7 linked regions of the Oryctolagus cuniculus genome follow. The protein of the gene in region 6 interacts with the protein of the main gene of each other region in a biochemical or structural test. Links are inferred from orthologs where the notes say so. Each region holds a gene or a part of one and is shown on either strand. Other genes may lie near its edges.

What was found.
Region 1: the proteins of ERBB3 (region 6) and ZAP70 form a complex in vitro, tested with the Homo sapiens proteins (2 studies listed by BioGRID and IntAct, with this or other methods). The link is inferred for Oryctolagus cuniculus from reciprocal best matches to the Homo sapiens genes ERBB3 and ZAP70.
Region 2: the proteins of ERBB3 (region 6) and GRB7 form a complex in vitro, tested with the Homo sapiens proteins (2 studies listed by BioGRID and IntAct, with this or other methods). The link is inferred for Oryctolagus cuniculus from reciprocal best matches to the Homo sapiens genes ERBB3 and GRB7.
Region 3: the proteins of ERBB3 (region 6) and RNF41 form a complex in vitro, tested with the Homo sapiens proteins (2 studies listed by BioGRID). The link is inferred for Oryctolagus cuniculus from reciprocal best matches to the Homo sapiens genes ERBB3 and RNF41.
Region 4: the proteins of ERBB3 (region 6) and TNS3 form a complex in vitro, tested with the Homo sapiens proteins (2 studies listed by BioGRID and IntAct, with this or other methods). The link is inferred for Oryctolagus cuniculus from reciprocal best matches to the Homo sapiens genes ERBB3 and TNS3.
Region 5: the proteins of ERBB3 (region 6) and TXK form a complex in vitro, tested with the Homo sapiens proteins (2 studies listed by BioGRID and IntAct, with this or other methods). The link is inferred for Oryctolagus cuniculus from reciprocal best matches to the Homo sapiens genes ERBB3 and TXK.
Region 7: the proteins of ERBB3 (region 6) and NRG2 form a complex in vitro, tested with the Homo sapiens proteins (2 studies listed by BioGRID). The link is inferred for Oryctolagus cuniculus from reciprocal best matches to the Homo sapiens genes ERBB3 and NRG2.

Annotation. Positions count from the first base shown.
Region 1 is NC_091433.1:110,676,921-110,680,966, forward strand, and holds the start of ZAP70 (tyrosine-protein kinase ZAP-70), read right to left. Parts: upstream 2,801-4,046; 5' UTR 2,669-2,800; intron 2,474-2,668; exon of another isoform or gene 2,350-2,473; intron 1-2,349. UniProt on the Homo sapiens protein: Tyrosine kinase that plays an essential role in regulation of the adaptive immune response. Regulates motility, adhesion and cytokine expression of mature T-cells, as well as thymocyte development.
Region 2 is NC_091448.1:22,653,676-22,656,292, forward strand, and holds the end of GRB7 (growth factor receptor-bound protein 7), read right to left. Parts: coding exon 2,525-2,617; intron 2,319-2,524; coding exon 2,220-2,318; intron 2,016-2,219; coding exon 1,935-2,015; intron 1,854-1,934; coding exon 1,737-1,853; intron 1,615-1,736; coding exon 1,554-1,614; intron 1,452-1,553; coding exon 1,364-1,451; intron 1,262-1,363; coding exon 1,168-1,261; intron 951-1,167; coding exon 804-950; 3' UTR 501-803; downstream 1-500. UniProt on the Homo sapiens protein: Adapter protein that interacts with the cytoplasmic domain of numerous receptor kinases and modulates down-stream signaling. Promotes activation of down-stream protein kinases, including STAT3, AKT1, MAPK1 and/or MAPK3. Promotes activation of HRAS.
Region 3 is NC_091442.1:59,030,313-59,034,254, forward strand, and holds the start of RNF41 (E3 ubiquitin-protein ligase NRDP1), read right to left. Parts: upstream 2,801-3,942; 5' UTR 2,556-2,800; intron 7-2,555; 5' UTR 1-6. UniProt on the Homo sapiens protein: Acts as E3 ubiquitin-protein ligase and regulates the degradation of target proteins. Polyubiquitinates MYD88. Negatively regulates MYD88-dependent production of pro-inflammatory cytokines.
Region 4 is NC_091447.1:53,271,958-53,275,895, forward strand, and holds the start of TNS3 (tensin-3), read right to left. Parts: upstream 2,801-3,938; 5' UTR 2,698-2,800; coding exon 2,650-2,697; intron 1,324-2,649; exon of another isoform or gene 1,133-1,323; intron 1-1,132. UniProt on the Homo sapiens protein: May act as a protein phosphatase and/or a lipid phosphatase. Involved in the dissociation of the integrin-tensin-actin complex. EGF activates TNS4 and down-regulates TNS3 which results in capping the tail of ITGB1.
Region 5 is NC_091433.1:41,322,264-41,326,485, forward strand, and holds the start of TXK (tyrosine-protein kinase TXK), read right to left. Parts: upstream 2,801-4,222; 5' UTR 2,773-2,800; coding exon 2,670-2,772; intron 1-2,669. UniProt on the Homo sapiens protein: Non-receptor tyrosine kinase that plays a redundant role with ITK in regulation of the adaptive immune response. Regulates the development, function and differentiation of conventional T-cells and nonconventional NKT-cells.
Region 6 is NC_091442.1:58,900,312-58,903,811, forward strand, and holds part of ERBB3 (receptor tyrosine-protein kinase erbB-3), read left to right. Parts: intron 1-78; coding exon 79-267; intron 268-399; coding exon 400-471; intron 472-974; coding exon 975-1,275; intron 1,276-1,429; coding exon 1,430-1,956; 3' UTR 1,957-3,500. UniProt on the Homo sapiens protein: Tyrosine-protein kinase that plays an essential role as cell surface receptor for neuregulins.
Region 7 is NC_091437.1:27,684,310-27,688,394, forward strand, and holds the start of NRG2 (pro-neuregulin-2, membrane-bound isoform), read right to left. Parts: upstream 2,801-4,085; 5' UTR 2,264-2,800; coding exon 1,516-2,263; intron 1-1,515. UniProt on the Homo sapiens protein: Direct ligand for ERBB3 and ERBB4 tyrosine kinase receptors. Concomitantly recruits ERBB1 and ERBB2 coreceptors, resulting in ligand-stimulated tyrosine phosphorylation and activation of the ERBB receptors.

The sequences.
Region 1 (4,046 bases), on a different chromosome or scaffold from region 6:
CTTGGCCCAAGCACTTGGGCCATCTTCCACTGCCTTTCCAGGTGCATTAGTAGGGAGCTGGATTGGAAGTAGAGCAGCCAGGACTTAAGCCAGCGCTCTGATAGGCGGTGCTGGCATCACAGGTGGCAGGTAAACCCACTGTGCCAAAGGCCAGCCCTGACACCCACATAAACTGATCTTTGAAGTCCACTTTCCCATCGACTTTCTGAAATGCCCTCCTCTATGCTGTGATGGGCAGAGACACCTGGGAGTAGCCCTAGTGAAAGGGGAGAGGTAGGGACAGGGGAGGGGAGGGGAGGGGAGGGAGAGGAGGCCTTCTCCTCCAACCAATACAGAGAGAGGAGGGGACCAGGCCAGGAGAGCCTCGGCCAGGCAGGGCCCACCGCCCAGCCCTGCCCCCATGCCTTTCTCCTGGCCATGTGCTTCTGGCCCCCAGGTTGTCACCCCACCCCCACCCCTAGTACCATCCATGATTCCTGCACCTCCCTCCCCAGGTTGGGTCTGGTGGCGCTCTGGGCTCTCAGGGTCTCCACCCTCCGACATCACTGCCTTGATGGCCTTGGACGATCACTGTCTATTTGCTCCTCCATCTCTGGCCCGGCTGAGCTCCCAAAGGCATAGCCTATGGCCACCTGGCTTCCTCCCGTAGCCCCTGACTCCTCTGGGTGCATGTCTGTCAAATGGGTACAGCAACAACAGCTCCCACAGCCCTTCAGGGACACTGTCCATTGCATCTAAGCCCCCCTACAACTCCATTAAATGAGGACGCTTACGCCCCTCCCTCAGCTAAAGAAGCTGAGGCTCCGAGGGGTCTCAAGGTCATGGTCAGTGACCTTGCAAGTGGCAGTCAGGACCTAAACCCAGGTCTCTCTGACACAGCAGCTGGCACCAGCCACCCTAGGGAACATCTACCAGAAGAGCAGGACCCTCAGCTCTTAACTGGGCCCAGGGGACCCCACGTCTCCATCGACCCCCCAAGCTGGCCCAGCAACCTTCGACTCTTGGGGAGACAGGGGCAGGTCCCTGAATCCAGCCAACTCTGTTCTCTGTGTCTGTTGATGGACTAAACAATGTCCCCCCACTCCACACACAGTGAGGCCAGTCCCTCCCACCTCAACCTCCACTGCTTGCGTTTTGTGAGCTGTGTGACCTCAGCAAGGAGCTTTCCCTCTCTGAACCTTAGGCTCCGGGACAAAGAGGCAGCAGTGGGGCCCATGTGAGAGTGATCGACTTAACCCCAATCCTCAATGCAGGGCAGCGGGGACCCACATGGCGGGGCTGGCTGCTACCCCACCAGGCATCTGCAGCAGCTGTAGCGTGCAGAGCCCGAGCCGACCCAGAGCCAGGCAGGACGAGGGGTCTAGCAAGATGCTTAGACGGCACCTGTGTGCCCGGCTCCCTGGATACTATCACTCACCACTAGGATTTGTAGACAGAGAAGCTGAGCACAGAGAGGGCAAGCGATTCTCCCGAGGATGCCCAGCTGCTGGCTCCAGGTGCGCTTCCTCCCCTTCCAGGCTGCCTGCCGGGGGTCCCTGCCAGGGAGGACAGGGCAGGAAAGGAAGGAAGGAGCAGCCCTGGCATCTAAGGATCCTCTGTCCTGGGAGCACTTGACCCTAATGTCTCAGCAAAGCTTTATCAGTCACCTGCTGTGCTGGCCCAGACAAGACAAATGAAGCTCATCCTCAGCTGCTGACCACACAAGCCCCTGTCCCTTGCTAAGCCACGTTTCCCAATAGTCAGGGACCAAGCGCCTCCGAGGTACCCATAGTTTCATCTACGCCTAACGGATGCACAGACAGAGGCTCAGAGAGGCCAAGCCTCTTGCCAGGCACACACAGCAGTTGCTCAGAGCTTGAGAGATCCATTCCCATAGTTCTCCAGTCCCCCCCCAGCCCCGGGCCTTTAACCTGAGCTCACCTACGAGCGGCTCAGGCCGACCCGGAGCCCCTGCGTGGAAACCATGCGTTGTTCGAGTCCGCAGCCCTGGTGAGCTAGTCTCACGTTCTCAGGGCCAGGGAGCCACAGCTCACATCTGCACCCTCAGAAGCTCCTTCTGCTTCCTGGAGCCACGGAGGCAGCCCTGACAGGGCCCAGCAGGAGGCCAGGGGCCGGGCAGGCAGCCCTGTGGCCCGCTGACCCTTGGGAGCAGAGCAGCTCCCCTAAGAGTGGCCACAGCCGTGTCTGCTTCCCGCTCCAGGCAGACACCGCAGCGCGCAGCTCCCACGGCCCTGCCTGCCGGGGCCTCCCCAGGAGCTCCCCACTCCCAGCTAACGCTGTGTCCTCCTCCACCTGACACAGGCCAGCCAGAGATGGGGGCCAGCTGCGGCTCCACGTGGCCAGACTTACCTGGGGCTGGGCAGGTGGATGCAGAGGAAAACGGGCCGCCTGCGGGGTCTCTGGTCCCCAAACAAGCAGAGCTGCTGTTAGGTGACGAGTCAGGGCCCGAGAGCCCATGGGCGCCCCCGCCTACACACACACACACACACACACTCACACACACACACACACACACACACACACGAGGAGGCCACGCCCTGCAGGGGTTTTCACCTGGGGGCAGTTCCACTCCCCCACTCCTGTAGGCCAGGCACCCCCGAGGCCGAGGTCCTGGGGTGGCCCTGATACTGGCCAGGCCTGGGCAGCAGGCCCGAGGCCTGCCACTCACCTGGGTGCCGGAGCAGTGGCGCCGAGGCCAGAGCAGGGCAGGGCTGCGGGCCGGAAGGCCTGGTGTCTGGGGCGCTCCTGCCAGCAGGCTTCTCTGAAATGCCACCTATTTCCTTGTTGTCAACACAGGAAAGGGGGCCGTTTGAAGTCTGCGTCAGAGTCACAAAGTGCTGTGTGCAAGGAAAATCGCAGGCCGCACGCTCCGGGGCGGGCGGCGGGCACTTCCGGGGCCATCGCGTGCCAGCCCTGGCACCAGGGGTCTGGAGTGGGGGTGGGGAGTGGCGAGGCCAGCGGCAGGCAGGGCTCCTTTGGGGGTGACCTCTGTGATCGCAGCACCTCCCCCGCACCCCAAGCCTGGGAAGGAGAAAGGGGTGAGCCTGGGCGCGGGAGGCTGGGGACCCCCCAGGCTCACTGGCAGCTGGGAAGTACTCGCTTTCCCTGGCCGAGAGCCATCAAGCCTGGCGGAAGCACACAGAGGAATGACTGCTTCACTCCATGGGCAGGTTAGAGTGGGCGGGGGCAAACCCCCGAAGTCGGTGCAGCCCTAAAGGCTCAGGTTCCTCCTGCCGCTGGCTGCCCATCCGTGCCCTCGGCGGGCTCCCAGGCTGCAGGGGGTGGCTGAGCTCAGGGGAGACCACACACCTGGGCCCTGGGTGCACCCCAAGGGGCTCCATGGCGCTCTGGGCTCCCAGAGGAGTCACACACAGAGACAGGGCGTCCCCCAGCACCTGTCCAGTTCCAACGCTGCCCTCACAGCTGTGCCCCGCTGGCCACCGCCTCCTGCTCTAGCCTCTTCCTCAACCTCTCCTCCCTTCGCCCACAGGAGGGTGCTCACCCCCTCAAAACTATCCTCAATAGATGCCTTCCTGTGCCCCGAAGGTGGCGTGGAAACCAGAGACGCAGACCAAGCCTCCTGTCTCCACACTGGCTCCTCTTTATCTGGGTAATAGTGGCAGAATATTCTAGAAGACTGAAGAGAAGCCCAGTGACAGCATCCGAATCACACCAACCCCAGCAGCATTTTTTCTTTAAGATTTATTTATAAGGCAGAGTTAGAAAGCAGCAGAGGCAGAGAGAGAGAGAGAGAGAGAGAGAGAGTCTTTCATCATTCCCCAAATGGCCACAGTGGCCAGAGCTGGGCCTGCGGCGGCTTTACCCCGGTATGCCACAGTGCCTGACCCCAGCAGTATTAATAGTCGCACCTGCTGTGTGATGGACACTGTGGTCAGCATTTTACATTAGCCCACTCAATCCATTTCCCAGATGAAGTAAGTGAAGCCCAGAGAGATAAACACAGACGCGGGCAGGAAGGGAGTGTGGGCAGCTGGGCCCCAGGACCCCACACGCTGGTTCTCTCCCCAAATGGCCACAATAGCCAA
Region 2 (2,617 bases), on a different chromosome or scaffold from region 6:
AGCAGCCAGTGAAGCTGCTGCTTGCCACACCGGCGTCCCAGACCGAAGCACCAGTTGGGGCCCAGCTGCTCCACTTCCGATCCAGCTCCCTGCTGATGTGCCTGCGAAGACGGGGGAAGACGGCCCAAGTGCTTGGGTGCCTGCCACCCATGTGGGAGACCCGGATGGTATTCCTGGTTCCTGATTTCCACTTGGCCCAGCCCTGGCTGTTGTGTCCATGTGGGAAATGAACCAAAGTTTAGAAGACCTCTTTCTATGCCTCCCTCTCTTTGTAGCTCTGCTTTTCAAATAAATAAATAAATCTTAAGCAACAACAACAACTAGCAATTGTTAGGCATCCAGTACATGCTGGGCATTACAGACTTTCAAATGACCAAGGCCTCCCCTGCCTGCCTTCGAGAAACACCCACACTGGCCAGGATGTGGCCGCCATTCACCTGATGCGTTCAGCAAGGGCTCCGCCTTCGGAACGCCAGGGCTTGCCAGACAGAACTCACAGGTGTATCAAAAAATAATCTTTATTGTCACTAGTATAAAACAGAGCAGATCAACTGGCCTCTCAGTCTGTACAAGGTGTGGGGCAAACGACCACCTGGCCTGCCCCGTTCCCCCACAAGGCCCTGCCCAGACCAGTGCCCCAGGGCTTCTGTGAGGGCCGCCACCAAGTGCCTCCCCTCGGGAAGAAAGGTTGACGGTGGCCTGGCGGGGGGGGGGGGGGATTCCCTGCCTGGGGAGGCACCGGCGCAGAGTAGCTCACTGGAGTCGGGGAGCCTCCGAGCACTGATGCCGGGTCCACACGGCGGTCAGAGGGCCACGCGGGTGCAGCAGTGGCGCAGCAGGCACGGGAGGATGCCCCGGTTCAGCTGGTGGAACTCCACGAGCTGCAGCAGGTCAGTGAAGCGCGTGTGGCCATCGTCCATGCTGTAGTAGAGGCAGCCCTCCTCCTCGCTCTGGGGCAGGGGGCACGGGCTCAGGGAGGGCACTGGGCTGGAGGAGGCCCCTCCTAGGCCAGGGCTCGGGTCCCCATTTCTTGTCCAGGGGAAAAGGAGGCACGCCGGGGGCTCGGGGAGGCCCCCCAAGGGAGGCAGAGGAGGAGCCCAGGTGCCAGGATTCCCCTGTCTCCCTGGCAGGCACCGGGGCATCTCGGGGAAGGCGGGGGCCACTCACCGGCAGGATGAGATAGTGCTTGACTTTCTGCAGGTGGCACAAGGAGAGGACAAAGCCCTGAGGGTTCCTCTGGCTCTCGCGGACCAGGAACAGGCTGCCGGAAGAGGGGGCAGAGTTACCCAGGACACCCGGCTGCGCCCTTGACCCAGCCTCTCTCTCAGTCCTGCACCTGCTGCCCGCCCAGCCCCACGCTTACCCGTCCACCAGGCCCTGCTGCCCAATGAGCTGCTGGCTCTCCTCACGGGAAATGCGCCCATGGAACCAGGGCTGAGTGCGGTGGATGGCTGGCGGAGGGCAGGGAGGAAGGCAAAGGGGAAGTCACTCTGGGGAGGGCACAGACAGCCTGCAGCGGCCCCCAGCCCCGGGCACCCCGCACCATCCCCCACCTGCACTGAGGCTGGTGCCGGAGCACGGCGTGGGCAGGCTGAGCCGGTGATTGGTCTTCTTCTGTGGAAGTGGGGGACATGGGGGTCAGGAGTGGGGGGTAGGGCCTCCCCCCTCCCACTCTGCAGAAGCCCATATGGAAGGCAGGGCCCCTGTAGGTACGCAGATGGGGGCAGGGCCCTCACCCGCCAGGCCTGGGCCTCCTCCAGGGCGGCACTCAGAGCTTCCCGAGGGTTCTCGATGACACGTCCGGCGTGGCCAGAGAAGTCCATGGCCACCAGGGTATTATCTGACACGCTCCTCTGGAGGCGGGAAGGGGAGGAGTCAGACAGTGCCCGGCTAGGCCTGGGGGTCCGCCCTCCCAGTGCCCCAGGCACACTCACCAAGGGTGGGGAACCCAGATAGGGCGGGCGCAGGTGGCGAGACTGTGCCTGCTGGTAATTCTTATATAGCTGCACCCCATACTGAGGGTGGGGGCGGGGAGAGAGAGACGGAGAGAGGGCGAGCCTGAGTCAGGAGGTCTTGGGGCTCAGGACACCCCAAGGGGAGGGCTCTTTCTGGCCTTGGACAGGAGCTGCCTGAAGCCAGGGGCTTGTCAGACAGCAGGGATGTGCTGGGGGGGCCAGGACGCCTCGTGCTCGGGACCCCCCCGCGCTCCATAGCCTCACCTTGAAGAGGCGGAAGGCGGCCAGCCAGCAGGTGCGGCTCTGCTCATCCTCACTGCAGAAGATTCGGAGCCCCTTGTGGCCATTGCGAAGCTTGTTGGGCTGCGGAAAGAGGAGCTCACTGGTCCCTCGCCTGCCTTCAGGACAATGTCCGTCCCTGCCTCTCCACAGAGCAGGCCCCAGCACAAGGAGTCTCCAGCAGGGCAGGGTGAAGAGGGGGTGTCTGAGATGGAGCTCGGGGCCCCAGGCAGGAATCCTGGGGCCTGAGTACCTCCTGTCCCCCCATCCTCGGAGGGCAGAGTCTTCACCTTGATACAGAAGCCGAAGTCTGTGGGCATCCCGTAGAGCTTGCGGCCCTGGGTCACCACGTACACGTTGGACTCGTTCACGTCAGCCACGTA
Region 3 (3,942 bases), about 130 kb from region 6:
AACACTCTATTAATAGGAACAAGGAGGAGAAACTTGAGTCAGGAGAGCTACCTCCACTTGGCAGTGAGACCGGACAGACGAGGAGGTGAAGTCAGGCCGCTGGGGAGGCGATGACTCCAGCAAGGACCACAGGTTTCAGTGCTAAGCATACGTGGCTGCTCTCTAAGGAGAGAGACCACTGTCCAAGGAATCACTCACAGGGTTCAGTAGATTCACACAGAGCTGGTAGGGGACAGGAAAGCACAAAAGAAAGGGAGAGAAGAGGAAATGCTGCAGACAGAAACGATTCTTTTATTCAGCACACACTACAAGTAATATCAGTAATTCCAAATCTATAGCTCCACAATACATATACCCAAATACCTTATGGTATTATGTTTTTATTTCTTTATGTTTTTATGTTCCCCAAATGCTTTCATGCAATTTATTTCATGTAAACACAATGCTGGCCTTATTTTCCATATTAAAAATACTATTTATTGGGGCCAGCGCCATGGCACAGGTTAATACTCTGCCTGTGACACCAGCATCCCATATGAGTGCCGGTTCTAGTCCCGGTTGCTCCTCTTCCAATCCAGCTCTCTGCTATGGCCTGGGAAAGCAGCAGAAGATGACCCAAGTGCTTGGACCCCTGCACCTACGTGAGAGACCTGAAAGAACCACCTGGCTCCTGGCTTCGGATCGGTGCAGCTCCGGGCGTTGAGGCCATTTGGGGAGTGAACTAATGGAAAGAAGACCTTTCTGTCTCTCCCTCTCACTATCTGTAACTCTACCTCTCAAATAAATAAAAAAATCTTTAAAAAATTATTTATTCTCCACAATAAAAATAATACTTCCTAAAGACATGCTCAACAATGTTGGTACAGGAGTAATTTTTTTTTTTTAGATTATTTATTTGAAATGCAGAGTGAAGTGGGGAGGGTAGAGAGATCTTCCATCCACTGGTTCACTCCCCAGATGGGCAAGGCTGGGCCAGCCTGAAGACAGGAGCCCCCAACTCCACCCTGGTTTCCCACATGGCTGGCAGGGACCCAAGTACTTGGACCATCATCCTCTGCTGCTTTCCCAGGTGCACTAGCAGGGAGCTGGATTAGAAGTGGAACATCTGGAACTCTAACCAGCACTGCAATACGGGATGCCAGTGAGTTCAGAACCCAATCCAAGTCTCCTACACAGGAGGGTGTAGTGCGTCTTTCACTTTAACAACACCCCATTTCCCAGCACACTGGCACATGCTCCTGAATCTCAAGATTTGTTTCCAGGAACCAGTGCTGTCGGCTATGCTCTCTCCTCGTGATGGCTTCCACGTTCAGAAGGCAAACAGCTGCTCATGCTGGGAGAGACGACCCTACCTCAGTGCCCCCTTGGTCAGAACAAGAGGAGCTTTTACACCAGAGCAGGGGGTCAGCAGTCAGGAGACTCCTGTATGACCCTAAAGCCACGTGACCCTTCGGTGGTTTTCAGTTTCTTCAACTGTCAGGCAGGGGGAAAGGCACCTGCCTTATCTGCCTCCTTTACTGTCAGGGCTTGGTGGGAGAGAAGAACTGTGAACACCTTCATCACACTGCTACTGAGGGCTGGGAGGGGACATCGGAAACAAATCTGTTCCATCTCTTCAGTTACTGGGAACTGGGGCAGCTCCAAGGTCCAGTGGACAACACAGGGTAATGAGGCTACTGCACCAGCGGCCAGCCCGTCCATCGCCAACCGGGGGAAGACCAGCAGCCAGCAAAGGTATCAGCCTCTAGACCTATTATCAAACTAAAACCACTTCACGCTGACTGCCCATCACACGTCAGTCTCAAGGAATACAGGCCTCGGTCATAGCCACGTTTGCTATTAGCGAAATGAAGCCTGCTTCTTAACGGGGAATGCCTCAGTCCTGCTCCTTGCTCCTGAAGGAGCTCCAGAAGAAGTTCCCTGCTCCTTCTGCCCCCCTCACTCCCCACTTTTCCTGGGTCCTGGATGGCGGAAGGCTTTCCGGTGTGCAAAGCCTACAAGAGGGCCGGGCTGCAAACCACTGGCAAGGATGTGAGGAATGCGAGATTCCTTCATGGAGGGGTGGGAGGGGAAGAGGAGCGGAAAAGCATGAAAGGGAAGAGACAAGGCTGCCAAACACAAGGCACGGGAGAGAAGCCAAGCTATGGCGCTTCGAGGGCGGAGGTTCAGGTTCCGCCGGCCCCGGCGAAGCTCTGGCTGGCCCCGGAATGGTCCCGTCGTCCCCTCGGGGACCACCGCTGCCCATTTAAACAGCAAGTTGCTCCCCCGCCCTTCCGCCTCCTCCAGCCGGCCCGGGCCCCCTCCTGCAAGGTTCCCCAGCACATATCCACGCTGGCCTCTTCCAGGGATCCTTTCCCGACAACCCGACCTCCGGAGCCCCCTTCACACTCCGACTCTTCCCCAGCGCTGCGCCCTTCCTCCATTTCTCATTTTCCCGCCAGTCCCTTCTCCTGAACCCCAATATCTCCAACCCTCGCCCCAATACCCCCGGGACATCGCCCCCTCCCCTCCCACACCCTTTTCTAGGGGGAAGCCCGCGCAGGCGCAGTACGCACCGCCCTGGACGCGGTCTGGACTCGCCGTACCCAAGCCTGGCTGGAGCTGAGGCCGCACAGGCTACCGAACAGCCCTGGTGCCCAGCCCCAGCCTTTCCCCGGAGGGGGAAGGGGAAGGGGAAGGAGGGGGAAGAAGGTTCCGACCACTCGTCGCTGCCTCAGACGGATCCTTTGCCCTGCCCACCGCTGCTACGCAACCCGGCGGAAGCTCGTCACCAAACCCCGCCTCCTTGTTTAACTGAGACGGGCACTGGAGGCCACGCGCGGCCAACGAGGTGGGACGCGGGCTAGCCGGGCTTCCGCTCCAGGCCGGAAGTCTTTGTGATCCCAGCCGGGACTGTATAGCCAGTTTGGAGGGGGAACTCTATGGTCTTCCTGGCGTGAGCGTCGGGGCTGAGGCCGAAGATTCCTACCTTGGGAGGCGACGCTTTGCCGTGGAGGGACGCACGTGACTTGTTCCCTGGAGCGGATGCGGAGGGGTGCCGTCCGGGCCGGCCCCTCTCGCGCTTCCAGAGCCGTGGTCAGCGCCGTGGAGCCTCCCGACCCTATGACTCAGAGTCATGGGAATGGATACTGCCGCGAACAAGGCGGCCGCGGGTGGGGAGCGGGGGCGGGTCCGGCCGCGAAGCTTTGATCTGGAGATGCTCAAGCGGTTGCCCGCCTCTCCGCCAGCCACACTCGTGCCATTTCCACTCTGGGACCCCTTGAAGCACCTAGGGGGAAGAAAACGCCCCCTCTGCCCGGGCTGTCGTTTGATCTCCTTAGGCCTCAGCACTACGAACGAGGGTGTGGGCACGAGGGACGTGAAGGGGAAGCCCAAAGCGCTCTCCGGGAAAGTAGATGAGTTGGGCCAGCCACGGCATTACAGTTACTCCACCTCTTAGGCTAATCTGGCACTCAAGTGGCATTTGCTATGGATATTCGCTAAGTAACTGGCAATGCGCACTTTGTCTTCATGCATTTGGCGTATACACTACAGTACAGGAACTATCTACCTTTTGTTGGCCATCTGGCAGGTCCCAAAGGAAACTAAAGGTTCTGAGCTTTTCCATCCTGGGGAGCATGGTGGGGCGGGCCGAGGAGGACTGACTCCGATCTAGTGAGGCGACTGCAGTTGGAACTAAGGGAGGGACTAATGCAAATGCTGTCTTTGCCCAGGGTTCCCTTTCTTACAAAGGGGGTAAGTCTGCCAGTTTCTGTCTCTGGAATGCCATCCCCCCCCCCAAAAAAAAAGTCCCTGACCAAGGTGGGCAGTGAATTAAAGGTGAGGACCCCAAATCCAGAATAAAGAGGCTTAAAGCGGTGGGAGAGGAGGAGCCAACTGGTACTGCGTTTTATATTTGCTTTCTCATTTGTAAAATGGACTTGCATATGCAAAGATTGCTGG
Region 4 (3,938 bases), on a different chromosome or scaffold from region 6:
ACTCCCCCTTTCCCCGATGCTGGCACAGGCACACAGCTCCTCACTCCCCCACTACGGCAGACATAACTAGCCCGGCACGTCCACCCCTCCAGCTGGCCTCCGCGAGCCACTCCCAGGAGCCGGGACTGGCCAAGGACTGACGCCAGCATGCCCGAGCTTTGGGACTGCCTGGGTCTCCCCACTGTCATTCAAGCTGCCTGGAAGGCGGGCAACTTGTAGCTCCCTGTCATCCCCGGTTCTAGTCCCCACCTCAGTCCTGCAGTGGCCTTGTCAATAACCACATCCGCTCGGGCTTTTGTGCAGACTGTCCCACTAGGGAAAGTGTCCTGAAGCAGGCAGAAGCCGTCACGTCAGATCTGCCACCTGCAGTCCAATCGCGGGGGCCCTGGGCAAGTCGCCTCTCTCAACCCCTCCCGCCTCTTAGGAGAGCTCCTGACCAGAGACAAACGCCAGTCCATAAGAAGCACTTGAGCACTGCTGCTGTTTCATTTTGTATTTTTTTAGAATGTATTTGAAAGGCAGAATGACAAAGAGAGGGAGAGACAGAGCGAGATCTTCCACCCACGGATTCACTTCCCAAATGCCCACAACAGCCAGGGCTGGGCCCGGCCAAAGCCAGAACTCGGAGACGCCTCCTGGTCTCCCACACAGGTAGCAGGGGCCATGCACCAGGACCCCTCCTGACGCCTTCCCAGACTCGTTAGCAGGGACCTGGATCAGAAGCAGAGCAGCCAGGGCTCACCGGCACGCCGACACGGATGCCAGCGTTGCAGGCGGCGGCTCAACCCGCTGTGCCACAATGCCCGCCCCAGGCACAGTTTTATAAGGAGCTCAGCCTCAGCTCCGTCCCAGACCAATTAAATCAGATTACTGGGGGCGGAGCCAGACCCCTGGCGAGGGCCCAAAGCTCCCCCAGGTGACTCCAATTAGCCGCCAAGCCCGTGCCCACCGTTCCGTGGGGCTCCACTTCAAAGGGCTCCCAGAACCTGGAACTACACTACAGGCTTATTTTGTGCAAAAAATTACTTCAAAATCCATGCATACTTCAAAAAGTTCATGAAAAAATGTGTATTATGAAAAAAATCAAAACTACACACAGATTTCAAAACAGTCTGGACCAAATTCAACTTACTTTTCAACCTCACTTTTCCGTGAGCTTCCGCAAGTAGCCCTCTCACTCTTGTGTTTTCGGCAGAAACCAGACTCTCTGAGAGCAGACGCTGTGTGCCCAATGTCACGGGGGTCCCGGTGTTAGCAGGGCGCATCCGTGTCCCTGTCGGCAGCAGCGTGTGGCCCAAGTGGGGACGGCGAGCTCTGGGCAGCCCACGCAGCAGGGATGTGGGGCTCGGGCTGGTCTCCCCCCCAGCCCCGCGTTCACAGGGGCAGCCATTCACGGCCCTGTCCAGCAGCACCCCAGCTGGGCCTCGCCCTGCACCCCACTGCAGCCTCCTGGAGGCAGGACACCGGCCCGGGCCCCTTTGTCCTCGGTGCCTGGCAGCCAGCGCGCCGTGGCCCCTCAATGAACGTCTGTGGACCGAATGAATCGGCCACAGTGTGCGGGCCAAGGAGGAACGCGCTGGCCTTTTCCTCCTTACAAATACCTTTATTGCCCCCGGCGAGAAAGAGGCACTGTTCCCCGCAGCTCCCCTGCCCGCTGGTGCAGCGAGAAGCCCCTCGGAGGGGACCGGCAGGGAGGGAACGGGGCCGGCGCAAGCACATCTGGCCACACCGCCCTGTCTCCACCTGGTCCGGCCTCTCCAGCAGCCAGCAGGCCCCGCTCAGGAATCTAAATTGCATGTAATTGTGAGCAGGGAGACGCAGGAAGAGGAGCCCGCAGGCTGGGGGACCCCCTGAGGGGCACAGCAATTAGTGCAGCTTCTCACAGGGCCTCCGCTGGTGAGGAAGAAGCTGCCCGAGGGAGCGAGCTGCACGCAGACAAACGCAAAACCGCAGACGCCGCTGCAGGCCCCGCGCTGAAGTGGAGGCGGCAGTGCCGGCTGCGCTGTCCCGGGTGGCCCTGGGCAGCAGGACAGCCTGCGGGAGCGACCCCGAGAGGCGGGGCCTGATCAGACACCTCACCGACGGGGAGCAAACCGGGGCGGAAGCGGCGACCCCGGCCCGGGCCCGCAGAGCCCTCCCGGCCCCCGCCCGCCCCGCGCTGCGCTGAGCGCGGGCGCGCAGGGACAGCTCTGGTGACCTGCGCTCTCGGGAACCGCGCAAAAGTTTCGGGACGAACGCAGCAAACGCCCTGCCGTGGGAAGCGGCTACCGCTGAACCCGGGGCGAGTCCCCAGCCCCGTGGGCTCGGCCAGGAGCTGTCCCGGGGACCCCGGGCGCCACGGCCCCAGCCCACCTGCGCGCGCCGCGACGCCGCTCGTTACCTTCGAGGCAGCGAGTCCGCGCCGAGGCCCGCGTCCCACCTCCACGCCAGCGGAGTAAGCGCTTCCGAGAGACGCTGGAGGGGGAGGAGTGGAGCCCGGAGCCCCGCTCCGACCACAGCCCCACCGGCCCTGCGCGCATACGGACGCGCGCTCCCGGGGACACACGCGTGGGCGAGCAGGCGCGCGCGCACCCACAGCACGCCGCGGACACGAGCGAGCGCGCCCGGTGCGGTCCACGTGCGGCCCGGCCCCGCGCGCGCCGCACTCACCTGGCTCCGGCGCGTCCCGGCCCCGCGCGTCAGGGCGCGCAGCCTCATGGCCGCCCCGGCGCCCGCGGGCCTTCAGGAGCGGCGGTCCGCGCAGGGGAGGTGGCCGGCGCCGCGCGTGCGGAAAGCCCGGGGAAAGGTGGGCGGCCCGGGAGGCTGGAGGGCTCGTGGCGGCGGGGCCCGGCCGCGCGCGCCCCGCCACGGGCAGTCGGACGCCGGGAACAAAAGCCCGCGCGCGGCGCCCAGCATCTGACACGAATTAGCCCCGTCCCCGCCCCGCCCGCAGCGCCGCGGAGCCCCGGGGACGCCGCCCGCCGGGCTGGGCAGCGCCTGCAGCCGCTTGGGCCCGCAACGAGCGCCCGGCCCCGCTAGGGTTTCAGGCCTCCGCGCGCGCGGGCCGGCGGGCTCCCGGGCTTGCGCGAGTTTTCAGTCTGGGATAGGACCCCGCCAGCCTCCCGGGAACTGCCTCACCAGCAGGGCGTGGGGAGCAGGACCACAGGCTGCCCTGGAACCAGCCGGCCTCGCTGCGGGACACGAGGACCGAGGGCGACCAAAAGCAAACCCGCAGGAGGGCCGCCTGTCCCGGGGGCCTGCCCGTATGGTGCACTTATTTATGCCTGAGAGAGAGAGATCTCGCACCCACTGATTCACTCCCCAAACCACCAACAGCCAGGACTGAGGCAGACGGACACCGAACTGTGTCCCACGTGGGGGTCAGGGCCCCAGGTGCGTGGGTCATGGCCTGCTGCCCTCTGGGGGGTGCACAGGAGCAGGAGCCAGAACTTGACCCACGCACCTGGAGGTGGGGTGTAGGTGTCCCACAGCTGCTGAGCTGAACACCCACCCCACGCACACAGCATTTTAGAAGAAATGCGAGAGCTGCCGTGGAGGAGGTACGCAGCTGCATGGGGAGCACCCAGGAGTCTGGGCAGTGGGAGGGTCCCGTAGGAAAGCCACGGCCAGACCAGCCCCTTCCCAGGGCCGGTGGGGTTGCAGGCCGCGGTCCCCATGGCCGCCCTCCCTGGAGCAGCACACCCAGGCTTCCTACAGGAGACTCCACGGAGAGCCGGTGTTGTGGCACCGCGGGTTAAGCCACCACCCACAACTCACACATCCCGTACCCCAGAGACCCCGGCCGCTCTGCTTCCAGCTCAGCTCCCTGCTGAGGCACCCGGGAAGGCAGCAGAGGACGGCCCATGCGGGACACCAGGATGGAGCTCCTGGCCCAGCCCTGGCCGCTGTGGCCACTTGGAGAGTGAACCAGCGGATGGAAGAGCTCTGTCTCTCTCTCT
Region 5 (4,222 bases), on a different chromosome or scaffold from region 6:
GGAGCAGCCGGGACTAGAACCGGCGCCCATATGGGATGCTGGCATCAAGGGCAGCAGCTTTACCCACTACACCACCGCGCCGGCCCCTTTAAGTCTGCCTTTCAAATGAACAAATCAATAAATCTTTAAAAACAAAAAAGCGTAGCTGCAGTTATGTGCGGTTGGGAAGAAGCTGTTCCCAGACTTAGTGACTTAATTTTTCATCCCCCAGCTCCCATGGGTCAGGAGCCCGAGAGCCGCTTAGCCTCATGCCTCTAGCTCACGGTCTCTCGTGAGGTTGTCCTCAAGCAGGCTGAACTGGAGCTGGGGACTCCACTCCAAGTACTCATTAGGCTGCTGGCCGGCCCTGCTGCCTTGGTTCCTGGTGCCCGGGGACTGTCCACAGGCCGTGCGTGCTCACAGAAGGCCGGCCAGTGCCCTGCCTTTAGAGACCCAGCCCCCACCGCGGGCATCCATCCCCCTGGCCAAGGTCCGTCCTTGCGAAGGGAGGGGCTCGGTCCACTTCACTCAAGGAGAGGCACTGTACTATCCTCACCCGCTCAGATCAAATTACAGAGACGGCCCAGAACCTCGCATTTCATCAGTGGCCCCGGGCCGCTCCAGGACAGAGACTGAACCACCTCCCACATGATTATCTTTTCTTTCATGGGGAAGAAAGGCACAGAACATAGAACAATATATTTATATAAGGGAGGAGGGGGAGGGAGAGAAGGAGAGGAGGAGAAAGGGAAAGAGGGAGGGAAAGAGGGAGGGGGAGGGAGAGGGGGAAGGAGGGGGAGGAGGCTGAGAGGCAGAATCTTCACTTCTCAGCGTGGCCTGGTCCTCGTTAACCCCAGGGCTGTTCTGTTCTCAGGGCAGCTGTGGGCTGAAGGAAGTACAGGTGCTGCTCATTTTCACAAATTGAACCTGACTGGAGCAGTGCCCTGATACTCAGAATCTCCCCTGTTCCCCACGATCCTCTATCCTCGCTTGGATGATTAACCTCGGAGCAGCCCGCAGGGCCAAGTCTCAGCGAGCTCTTACCACAGCAAACTCACTTCACAAACGACTCTGGCCAACACGCCTCCAGGCATCGTTCAGCTGGCCCCTTGTCAACAATAAACCCTGGTTGTTTTCACCCAGAGAGAACAGGGCTCTATCTAGCTTTAGTGGAGGGCAGGAAAACAAAAACAAAAGCAGGCAAGTCTCACCATCAAATCAAATCAGAAGCTGGTGGGACAGGGAAGCCTCAGCAAGGCCATCAGTGATCCCCAAAATATCCCACCAACAGGCTCTGATTTTACCCTCAGGCAAGCTAACCCTCGTCTCCACCTCTCCACCCTCACAATTATTTATGTCGCATATGACCGAACCCTTCCTCTTGTAATGTACAGCCTTCTCTCCAGCACCGACCTCAGGGAAAACCCAAGACACATGCCCGTGCAGCTTTCTATATTTAACAACTGTTGCTACGCCTCTGCTCAGCTCCCTGGGGAGGTGGGGACACACAGGTTGCTGCTTTTTCGTTTTTCTGCTCCAATCTGCTTGGCCTGCATGTCTAAGGGGCAGCCTCGTTTTCATCTGTGTGGATGATGACTGTTATATTCAGGTCAGCACAACTGAAATAGCCTGGTTTGCTGTTTTATAAATTATACCGACAAGTGTTGGCCCTGTGCAGTAACTGGGCTTGAACAGCCGACACTCAAACACTACAATTGGGCTTTCCCGATGCCACGGAAAAATCAGAAACGCAAAACCTTGACCGTTAGCTGGCCTTTGATTGCTCTGATCAGACTGAGCTTTGTTAAATTTGGTCCTATAGGCATCCATAATTCAAATCAAAACTAGCATTTCTCTTATCTTTAAACTACTTATAAATAATAAGGCCCTCCCAGGCCTTAGGATCATAGAGCTAACTCTAACAAATATTTTCAAAAATTAACAAATATTTTCAAAAATTACATGAGTGCCCTGAATAATCTTGGAAAGCAACCAAAGTCAAGTTCATGAAGCACCTGTCATTTGTATCCATTGCTTATGAGACATTTTTGGGAGGTGGGCTGAAAGGGAGTCCTCATTTTACAGATAAGAGACCTGACACAAAGCAGCTACCAAGGGTGACCGCCAAGCTGGCGACAAGTCCCGAACCAGAACTGGGTCTCCTGGCCTTTAGTCCCAAGTTGATTACACTGGGTATTTTAACAACACGTCACACCGATGCATTTCTACGCACACATGAGAAACCGCCAGTTTGTGGAAAAGGGAATTCAAGACATTGGTTTTGAAATTTTTTTGAAATCAGTGCACACAGGGGTCTTCAAAAAGCTTGTGGGAAATGCACATTACGAAAAAACAATGCATGCACTTCAAAGCTGTTTGCACAGCAAATCTAACTCGTCTTTGCTCTCCATTCTCCCCAGCTCTTGCAGCACCGTGGCATAGATGGAAGGACATGGTGTTTGTTTTCCACCCGTGCTCTCCATGCTGGGCAGTGACCACAATTAAATCACCACAGTGGTTATTTAAATAAGAAACAAAACGCTGTCACAACATCTGTGGAAATCATCTTCACAATTTCACAAGCTCTACGCCTTAGGAAAAACTTGCGGTGTTTGAGAGTAAAGTCACACGCCCAGAACAAGCCGAGAGAGAGAGGGAGAGAGAGAGGGGACGAGGCCCACGGTACTCACAGGTGGACAGAATCATGGCTGCAGCTCGCGGGGGTAAACAAAACCGTCTTCGGTTCTTCGGCTGTGCTGCACTCACAGAGGCACGGCTTTGAACCGAAATCATAGCTCACCAGGACGTTTCTCACAGGCACAGTTAGCCCCACCTATTTTCCTGTTCTCAAAACCTCAGACGGGGCGTGTGAATGACAACCTGATGGCCTACATCGAAAGCGCACTCGTCTGCACCCACTTCTGTGAAGGGGCTTCTCTCAGCTCCTCGGGCCCAGACCTGAGTGGCCCCAGCAAACATCACCAAGGAACCCCAAAACTGTGGTCAAAGAGGTCTTAAAAATCAACTCAAACGCCCTCTCACATAAAGGAACTGATAGGAAGAGGGATGGGCCCGAGGCCACGGTTCCTGGGGGAAACATGCAGCTTTGGGAACATGCAGCCCAGAATGTTCTGTGCTCGCACGGGGTAGGGGCTGCCAGGGCCCTCATTTCTACTCCACACAGGGCTGACATCCACAGCCACGCTGCAGACCACGCTGAGGCGCTTCGCTTCATCACAGTGGAAACCGTAAGCAAAATCTCACCGGGGAAACCACAGTGAGGACGCCGCCGCCGCCGCTCTGCCTGCACCTCCGGCGGGGACACCTCTGGCCTTTCCCTTACCTTTTGCCTTAGCTGTGCTTTCATATAGAAAACGTTAGGTTTCAGCGCAAAACATCTGACGATGTTTGAGGAAAACATTTCCCAATGTGGCCAGGTGTTGACTCTTTGGGGGGGGGGTCCCCCTCACAGGTGTGACCGTTGGGGTAAGGCCTTGACCTTCTCGGGGTATGGCCTTGACCTTCTCCTCCCTCACGCCAATACCCGCAGCTCCTCAAGGAGCAAAGGCAGGGACAGGATAGAGGGATGGGAGGGGCACGGAGGGAGAAGGGCCCGCCAGGGACAGCAGGACTGTGGGACCAACCCCTTGAAGGAGCTCCACACCAGTGAAAAAGCGTCCACGTCGCCGTGACAGGAAGTCAGACGGGTGGATGAGGAGGAACATGGCCGACTCAGGATAAACACCGTTTCCACTGCAGAGGGCACAGGAAAGAATGGACGCTACCTTCAGCAGACAGACTGCCTGGCACCCGGACTCCAGATGGAGAGGCTTCTGCAGGGTCAGAGACGAGGTGCTGCTCTGAGCAGGCCTGGGGTTCACCCAAGCAGCCCCCGAGGGCATGGAACACCCCCCCCCCCGGCCCCGAGGAAAGGCTCCGTGTTTTCCACGCCTCTCCACCCCACCATGAATGCCAGGAGCAACAGGTGGGGCCAGCAGTGGTCTCGGCCACCTGGCCGTCTGGCCGTGACCGGGGCAGGTTCATCTTCCCTGCAGCTCCACCTCAGCTGGCGTCTCGGTCGCAGGTGGTGAGGGTGGGACACCCACACCAGCACACACCAGCATGCTGGAAGGCAGGGGCTATCTCGAGGCTGTCACAGTCTCCCCGATCCTGGTGCCCAGGTCCGCCCAGGGCTCCCGAAACACATCCGGGAGGCAGCTCGGAGCCCGGTCGCTCCGTTTCC
Region 6 (3,500 bases):
AGGGACTAGATTGCAAGGATGTGGAGAAAAGAATTGGCTGGAACCCGGATCCACCTTAACAGTTACCTGCTCCTACAGAGGGAGAGTGGGCCTGGAGTACCTCCTGGGGCAGAGCCCTCTGCTCTGACAAACAAGGAACTGGAGGAAGTAGAGCTGGAGCCAGAACTTGACCTAGACCTAGACTTGGAGGCAGAAGAGGACACCCTGGCAACCACACTGGGCTCTGCTCTCAGCCTACCAGTTGGAACTCTTACTCGACCACGGGGGGTAAGACACTGTAACTACCCAAGACTCCACACCAGGCCCGCACAAACCCCCAGACCAACTACTCACGGCCCCCATGGTAAGAGTAGGATTTCTTCCTTCATCTGAACCTTTTTCTTACTTCTTTCCTCCCAGAGCCAGAGCCTGTTAAGTCCATCATCTGGATACATGCCCATGAACCAGAGTGTTCTTGGAGAGGCCTGCCAGGTGAGCTCTGCTGCTGACACGAGGTGGCTGAGGGGTAGTGCAGGAAGCATGAGAAACTGAAAAGGCAGGCAACAAACAACCCAATCTTCTTCTTTTTTTAAGCCTTATTTTTATTTGAAAGAGTTACAGAGAAAGGTAGAGTGAGAGAGCAATAGAGAGAGGGGTCTTCCATACACTGACTGGTTCACTCCCCAAATGGCTGCAATGGCTGGAGCTGAGCTGAGCTGATGCAAAGCCAGGAGCCAGGAGCTTCATCCGGGTCTCCCATGTGGGTGCAGGGGTCCAAGCATTTGGGCCATCTTGCACTGCTTTCCCAGGTTCATCAGTAGGGAGCTGGATCGGAAGTGGAGCAGCCAGGACTTGAACTGGCACCATAAGGGATGCTGGCACTGCAGGCCAGGGCTTTAACCTGCTGTGTCACAGCACCGGCCCCCAACCCAATCTTCTAAATAAAGCCTTTCCTGTCTCTAAATCTGTTATCCTCTCTTTACCTTCCTTCGTAGGAGTCTGCAGTTTGTGGGGGCAGTGAACGATGCCCTCGTCCGGTCTCTCTGCACCCAGTGCCACGGGGCCGCCTGACCTCCGAATCGTCAGAAGGTCACGTGACAGGCTCTGAGGCTGAGCTCCCGGAGAAGGTGTCGGTGTGCAGGAGCCGCAGCCGCAGCCGCAGCCCACGGCCAAGGGGAGATAGTGCCTACCATTCCCAGCGCCATAGCCTGCTTACGCCCGTCACCCCTCTTGCCCCGCCAGGATTGGAAGAAGAGGATGTCAACGGTTATGTCATGCCAGATACACACCTCAAAGGTGCCTGACTCCTCCTGCAGCTTTCTCTGAATTCTCGTCTTCTCTGATCCTATCCCTTCCTATTAATTTTTTCTAACTTTCCCTTCCCTTCCCCTACCTACTGCCCATTACCATGAAGTTCTCCACCTACTTATCCTCTCTGCTCTTCTCCTAGGTACTCCTTCTTCCCGAGAAGGTACTCTTTCCTCAGTGGGTCTCAGCTCTGTCCTGGGTACTGAAGAGGAAGATGAAGATGAGGAGTATGAATACATGAACCGTCGGAGAAGGCCCAGCCCATCTCATCCCCCTCGGCCCGGCTCCCTTGAGGAGCTGGGCTATGAGTACATGGACGTGGGGTCAGACCTCAGTGCCTCCCTGGGCAGCACGCAGAGTTGTCCTCTCAACCCTGTGCCCGTCATATCCACTGCTGGCACGACACCAGATGAGGACTATGAGTATATGAATCGGCGACGCGGTGCAGGTGGCCCGGGAGGGGATTACACAGCCATGGGGGCCTGCCCAGCAGCTGAGCAAGGGTATGAAGAGATGCGAGCTTTCCAGGGGCCTGGTCCGCATGCCCCTAGTGTCCGCTACGCCCGCCTCAAAACCCTCCGCAGTTTAGAAGCCACCGACTCCGCCTTTGACAACCCTGATTACTGGCATAGCAGGCTTTTCCCCAAGGCTAACGCCCAGAGAACATAGCCTCGACTCCTTGAGACACTCGGGGAGCGTCTGATGGCAGCTAGTGCCTCTAGAGGGTACCCCTCATCTCCCTACTCCCCCCTCCACAGGTGTCAGCCCCATTTCTCTAGTCCTAGACAATTCCATTCAACCTTTGGAGGCTTTGAATCCCTTTGACACAAACTTCTTATGGTTTGTAGCCAACTGTGCACTTTGTTCTCCTTCCCAGCCCCAGGAAGGAGAAGGTTTTCCTACTTTGTGTGCTTTCCCAGGACTCCCTGGAGACATGAAGGATTACTCCCCACATCCCTGTAGCTCAGGCCCCACCTGTTAGTATGAGGCCCGGATATGTGCCTGTTTCAGAGTGTCCTAAGAACACAGGGGCAGATCTGGCAGAAGAAAGCAAAAACTGGGTACTTTTAACCCCCTGCAAAGGTTGCAGAGCTTAAAGTTCTGTAAAGAGCAGTTAGGAACAGACTATTACTCTCGGCTCTTCACTGCGGGCCAGGCAGCAAGCGAAACTTTACCTACATTATCTCCCTTAATCCTTTATACTCCTTACAATTGTGTGACAGAGAGATGACCCTGTTTTACACCTAAGTAGTCCCCCCTCCCCCATCCTCAGGGGATAATGTTCCAAGACACCCAGTGAAACCACAGATAGCACCAAATGCTGTACTTAATGCCCTTCCTCCTGAACTCCATGCACTACGGCCATAACTTGTGCATTCCGTGGTGCAACAAGAAAAGTAGCACAGAATTCCATGGATAAAGGAATCGTCTGCACTGGAGATCCGGCGACTTCTGCGTACACTTTTGGCTCCTTTACTTACGAAGACGTTCACCTTTTCACTTAACGGAAGCACTTCTCTTTGGTCGATGTGAATTGCCTGCATCACCATTAAACAAGTAAGGGTTCCTAGAACACAGCCACTTTTGGATACCACAACAGGAGATCTGATAAGCGAGAGTGCTACCGAGGGACTAAGGGCAGTGAGGGACGACTACACTGGACAGAGGAAGAGCAGGATGGTGCTAAGATTTCATCATGCTACTCAGACTTATCAATTGTTGATTTTCCATGTAATTGTTTTGGACTGCAGTTAACCACAGGTAACAAGCTGTGGAAAGACAGCAGATCAGGGGGACTGAGCCTTAAAGACTGGGTAAATTAAGCAACAGGTCCAGGTTTCAAAATCTTCCCAACAGAATGCACGTGTTCTTACTGTAAGCTGTCATGGAAAACAGATAAGTCAGAGAGCCCTTGTAAGGTGCATTTTACTTGTGTGTGTGTGTGTTTTTTTTTTCTTTGCACTGAATCAAGTTTAACCCTCCTCTACACCCAGACTTCTCATCTCAGGAAGTGGTGGGGGTGAGGGGGTAGGAAGGAAAAATAACTGGATGTTTTTGCATAAACCGTAACTCTCGTGATCACTCCTAAGGGCAGACTCACAAAGGTCCCCAGGCCCACCTGTAGGAGCTGTTCTCCTCCAGTGGTGAGACGCTTCCAGGTGGGAGAGACAGGACCCTGCTTTAGACCTCCATCCCCTTGGGAGGGGAACTGG
Region 7 (4,085 bases), on a different chromosome or scaffold from region 6:
GGGATCTCAGATAAAAGACTTACTAGAGTAACAGAAAAAATATAGAAATTTTTAACTGGCCTTAACTGGTCAGCATAAAATATCTCAGAGCATAAAACCAACATTAACAACCAATCGACACTATTCCTGAGAAGGAATGTCAGAACGATAAACTGCTGTTCTCCCCTGTTTCTTCTTTCCTTATGAAGACACTCCCCAGATTCTTCTCATTCAAGTGACCACAGCGCCTGGATGTGCCCCCATAAGGAAACTCCCAAAACTGCCCTCTTGAAGGGGGAGAGGGATTTCCAGAAGTCAAAGGCATTGATCTAGAAATAGGAGGGCGGCAGCAACACTTCCTCTGAGCTTCAATACGAAATTTACTCCCCAGGCCTGCCTGTGTTACCCAGGTTCAGTCAGTAGAGGCACCAAGTTCAATGAGAGTCCAGGATAGGTACCACGCTTCAGTGATCGCGCGGCGGCTGGGAGTCACACCGAACGCAACACAGTGAACCCATACTACGAATAAGCTCAAGCAGGCCGACACCCAACACTCCAGGGTGGGCACAGTTCCGTCTGAAACCTCTTGCTGAGAGGTACTGGATTCGGGGAGCAGAAGAAAAAGCTCCCATCACGGGCGACCTCCGACCCCAGCTGCACAGACCTACAGACTAGGACGTCGTGGGGGTTGTGTTTCTGATCAGTTGCCTTCCTGTGCGGCCCCGACATCATACAGGTAAGAGGCGCAGTGAACGCAGGCGGCCAGGGAGATGTGTCAGAGCTGAACTTAGAGCCGTCGGCAGAACTAAGTTACTCCGTGTCATCGCCATCGCGATCCACAGACCGCGTGAGATCCCCCAGACACTGCACGTAGAACAGGCTGTGCGGCTCACTGAGCAAAGACAGGCGGTCGCGATGGAGGATAAAGCCCGGGCCACAAGGAGGACGGAGAACCGTAGCAGAGAAAGTCCAACTCTGGCTGCGCCAGCGGCGGGGACCCGCGGAGCCGCGAGCCCGGGAGAGGAAGGAGGGGGCGGGGGCGATCCTCCCCCAGGAGAACTTGCAAGCCTAGGCCTCCACCGCCTGGGAACCTGCCCAGATGCTCCGGCAGACCCTGCCGGCCCGGGCCGGCAGGCTCCTGGGAGCAGAGTGGACCAGGCCTCCGAGAGTCGCTCCTGACTCACCGAGCCTCAGGCCAGCCGCCGGCCGGACCGCTCGGTCTTCGCTTCCGCTACTGGGCTATGATGGCAGCTTTCCAGACCCACTTGCAAGACATCAGCCGCAGATCCCTGCTGGTACAGGCCCGCTCCTCCCCTCGCCCCCTGCCCCTGGCCCACGCCGAGCCCGGCCCTTCGTCGCCCCAGTCCCAGCCCCCTCCTCACCCACCCGTGCCAGGCGCTCTGCCTGGGGGCGGCCCCACCCCCCCACGGCCGGCCACCGCCGGGCCCGGGCACCTGCAGCGCTCCCCGCCCCACCCCCATTCCCCACCGCCTCGCCCTTCCCCCGCTCCTCGGGCAGAGGGAGGGGGCGACTCACCGCAGTCGGTGCACAGGATCTTGCCCACCTCCTTCTTGAGGTTCTTGCCGTTGGTGTCGAGGGGGGCGAAGGCCGTCTTAAACACTAGGGGCTGTTCCGTGGGCTCCAGGAAAAAGATGTAGCGCTGGTTCCTTTCCAGCGGCGCGCAGGAGCCCACGCTGATCACCTGCTCGCGCTGCAGCCCCCCGCTCCGGAGCGGCCACTTGTCCAGCACCTTCACCAGCGCCACCCGACCCGAGGCGGGCGGCTCGCGGGTGCTGTTGGAGCTGGAGCCGCCCGCCGGGGCCAGCCCCTGTACCTTGCCCTCCACCACCACGGGTGCCTTGTACGCCTGGTCCTGCACCGACTTGAGGCTGGGCGAGTAGCAGGCGAGCGACACACCGAAGAGCAGCATGGAGAAGCCGGGGGCCGGGTCGCGCCTCATGCCGCCGGCGGCTGCGGCTCGCGAGCGGGCGGCGGCTCGCGGGGCTGCGGGGCTGCGGGGCTGCGGCTGTGGCTGCGGCCGCGGCTCTGGGGGCGCAGCGGGACGGGAGATGCTGCTGCTGCTGCTGCTGCTGCTGCTGCTGCTGCTGCTGCTGCTGCCGCCGCCGCCGGGGCTGCTGCTGCTGCTGCCGCTCTCGCCGCTGCTGCTTCTGTCGCTGCTGCTGCTGTTGCTGCTGCTGCTTCTGCTGCTGCTGTCGCTGTAGCTGCTGCACCGAGCCTTCTCCAGTGGCGGCGGCGGCAGCGCTGAGCAGCAAACCTGCCGCATCTGGCCAGGCCATTTGGGGGGCTCCGCCGCTCAGCCGCCGCCGCCTTGGGAGGGGAATCAGAGCCCGCTGGAAAACCGGAAACAGCGTAACGTTAGCGCCTCGTAGCCCTCCCGCGGCAGCCCGGGGAGGTGGCCCGGCTGGGGCAGGGGGCAGGCGGCAAGCGGGCCGCGATGCGCAGCGCGGCGCAGCGCAGCGCTCCCACCCTGCGCGCCAGGACCTGGAGGAGGATGCGGAGGACGGGACGCCCGCCCACTTGCTCTCTCGCGCCCCCTCTACCCCCAGAGCGAGCGGGGAGCGCGGCTTCTGCAGGGGAAGCTTGGGACTGCACTGCTCTAGTGCCCGCCTTCAGCCCGCAGGGGCGCGGGAGGAATCGTGCCACCCTTTGCTCTTGGGATTTTTCAGCATGACAGCGGGGGTGGTGCGTGAGGAGAGGGCGGTGAAGCGATCTCGGCTTTGCGCCCCATCCCGTGGACGTGGGAGTGGGACACAGGGCGTGCCCCCGCCTTCGACCATGGGTGGCAGGAGCCAAGCAGGTTGCTGAGGCCAGGGTGGCAGGTCAGCCGCCCCCACCCCCACCCCCGCGCCCGGTTCTCCCTTCCCCACGAGGAATCTAGGAGCCGGCCCCAGCGAGCCCATGTGCTCGGCCCTGCCACCGCCCGGCTAGTGCTGGGGAAGGTGGGGGAAGGAGCCCAGCCTTGTGGTTTTGGAAAGGGCTAGGGCTCCAAAGCAGCCTTGTCTCAACACTGAGGACACTTCGCCAGAGGTGGCCGTGGGGACAGTCATAGGCTCCCGAGAGACTCCAGGCTTCCGCCAGTAGTCCAGGCTGCCGCTCTCCAGCCTCATCCTCTACTGGCTTCTTGGGAGCCAGTTGAGAGCCAGGGCCTGCAGGGCCAGAGGCCGCTCCCTGGAAATGGTTTCTTTTTAAAAATCTGAGGCTTCCAAGAGGCAAAGAAGAGTTAGCTCCCCTGGAACCAGCATCTGATTTCAAACTAGACCAAACCCAAAGTGAAAACTGAAAAGGAAAAAAAAAAAAAAAAGAAGAAGTCCGTCATCCATTCTCCAATCAATAAAGGGCCAGAGGGTTTTCAAAACTCAGGTTTTAGCCTTGAAGAATGCCCAGCTGAACAGCTGGGTCTTGGGGAGTTTTCCCACTGACTGGACCTTGCAGGAAACTGGCCCATGGCTGACCAAGGCTAAGAGGCAGTTTAAGCTCAGCATAGCCGAGGCCAAAGCATCATTTCTTTTCTCCCACCCCGCTTCAAATTCCCTGTGGTTGGTAATGATGCCGTTATCTGCTTGGCCACCCAAAGCACTCCAGTTAGTCCTTTAGCCTAATCTCCTACTCTCCCTCAGCCAATCATCACCAAGTCCTTTGAAAAACCTCCAGTTTCTCTACTTCCTCTCCAACTCTGACAAATTCCTGAACTCCAAGTCCTCATTGACTCACCTGGCTTACTGCAGAGCCTCTTCATGGGTCTCATCACCCACCTCCAGTCCTGCCAAGGCTAGAGTGATCTTCCTAAAAGTAAAGTCTAAATATGATTTGTCCATGCTGCTGCTCTTGGGAGTAAAGTTCAAGATCTTCAACAAGGGTCTGCGTGGGCTTCATTGCGTAGCCAGCTCCACGTCCTGAGAACCAGCCCCAGTCCTCGTGATGCTCAGCCCGTGGTGCTGTCTCTTGGCATCTTCTGTACCTGCTGTCTTCAGTGTCCAGGGAGCCTTGCCTCCACCTTGTCCACCTGGGAACCTATTCTTTCCCCACAGCCCAGCTCGGCATGATAGCCCTCTCCACTCCTATGTGCCTATATCCACTCCCACACT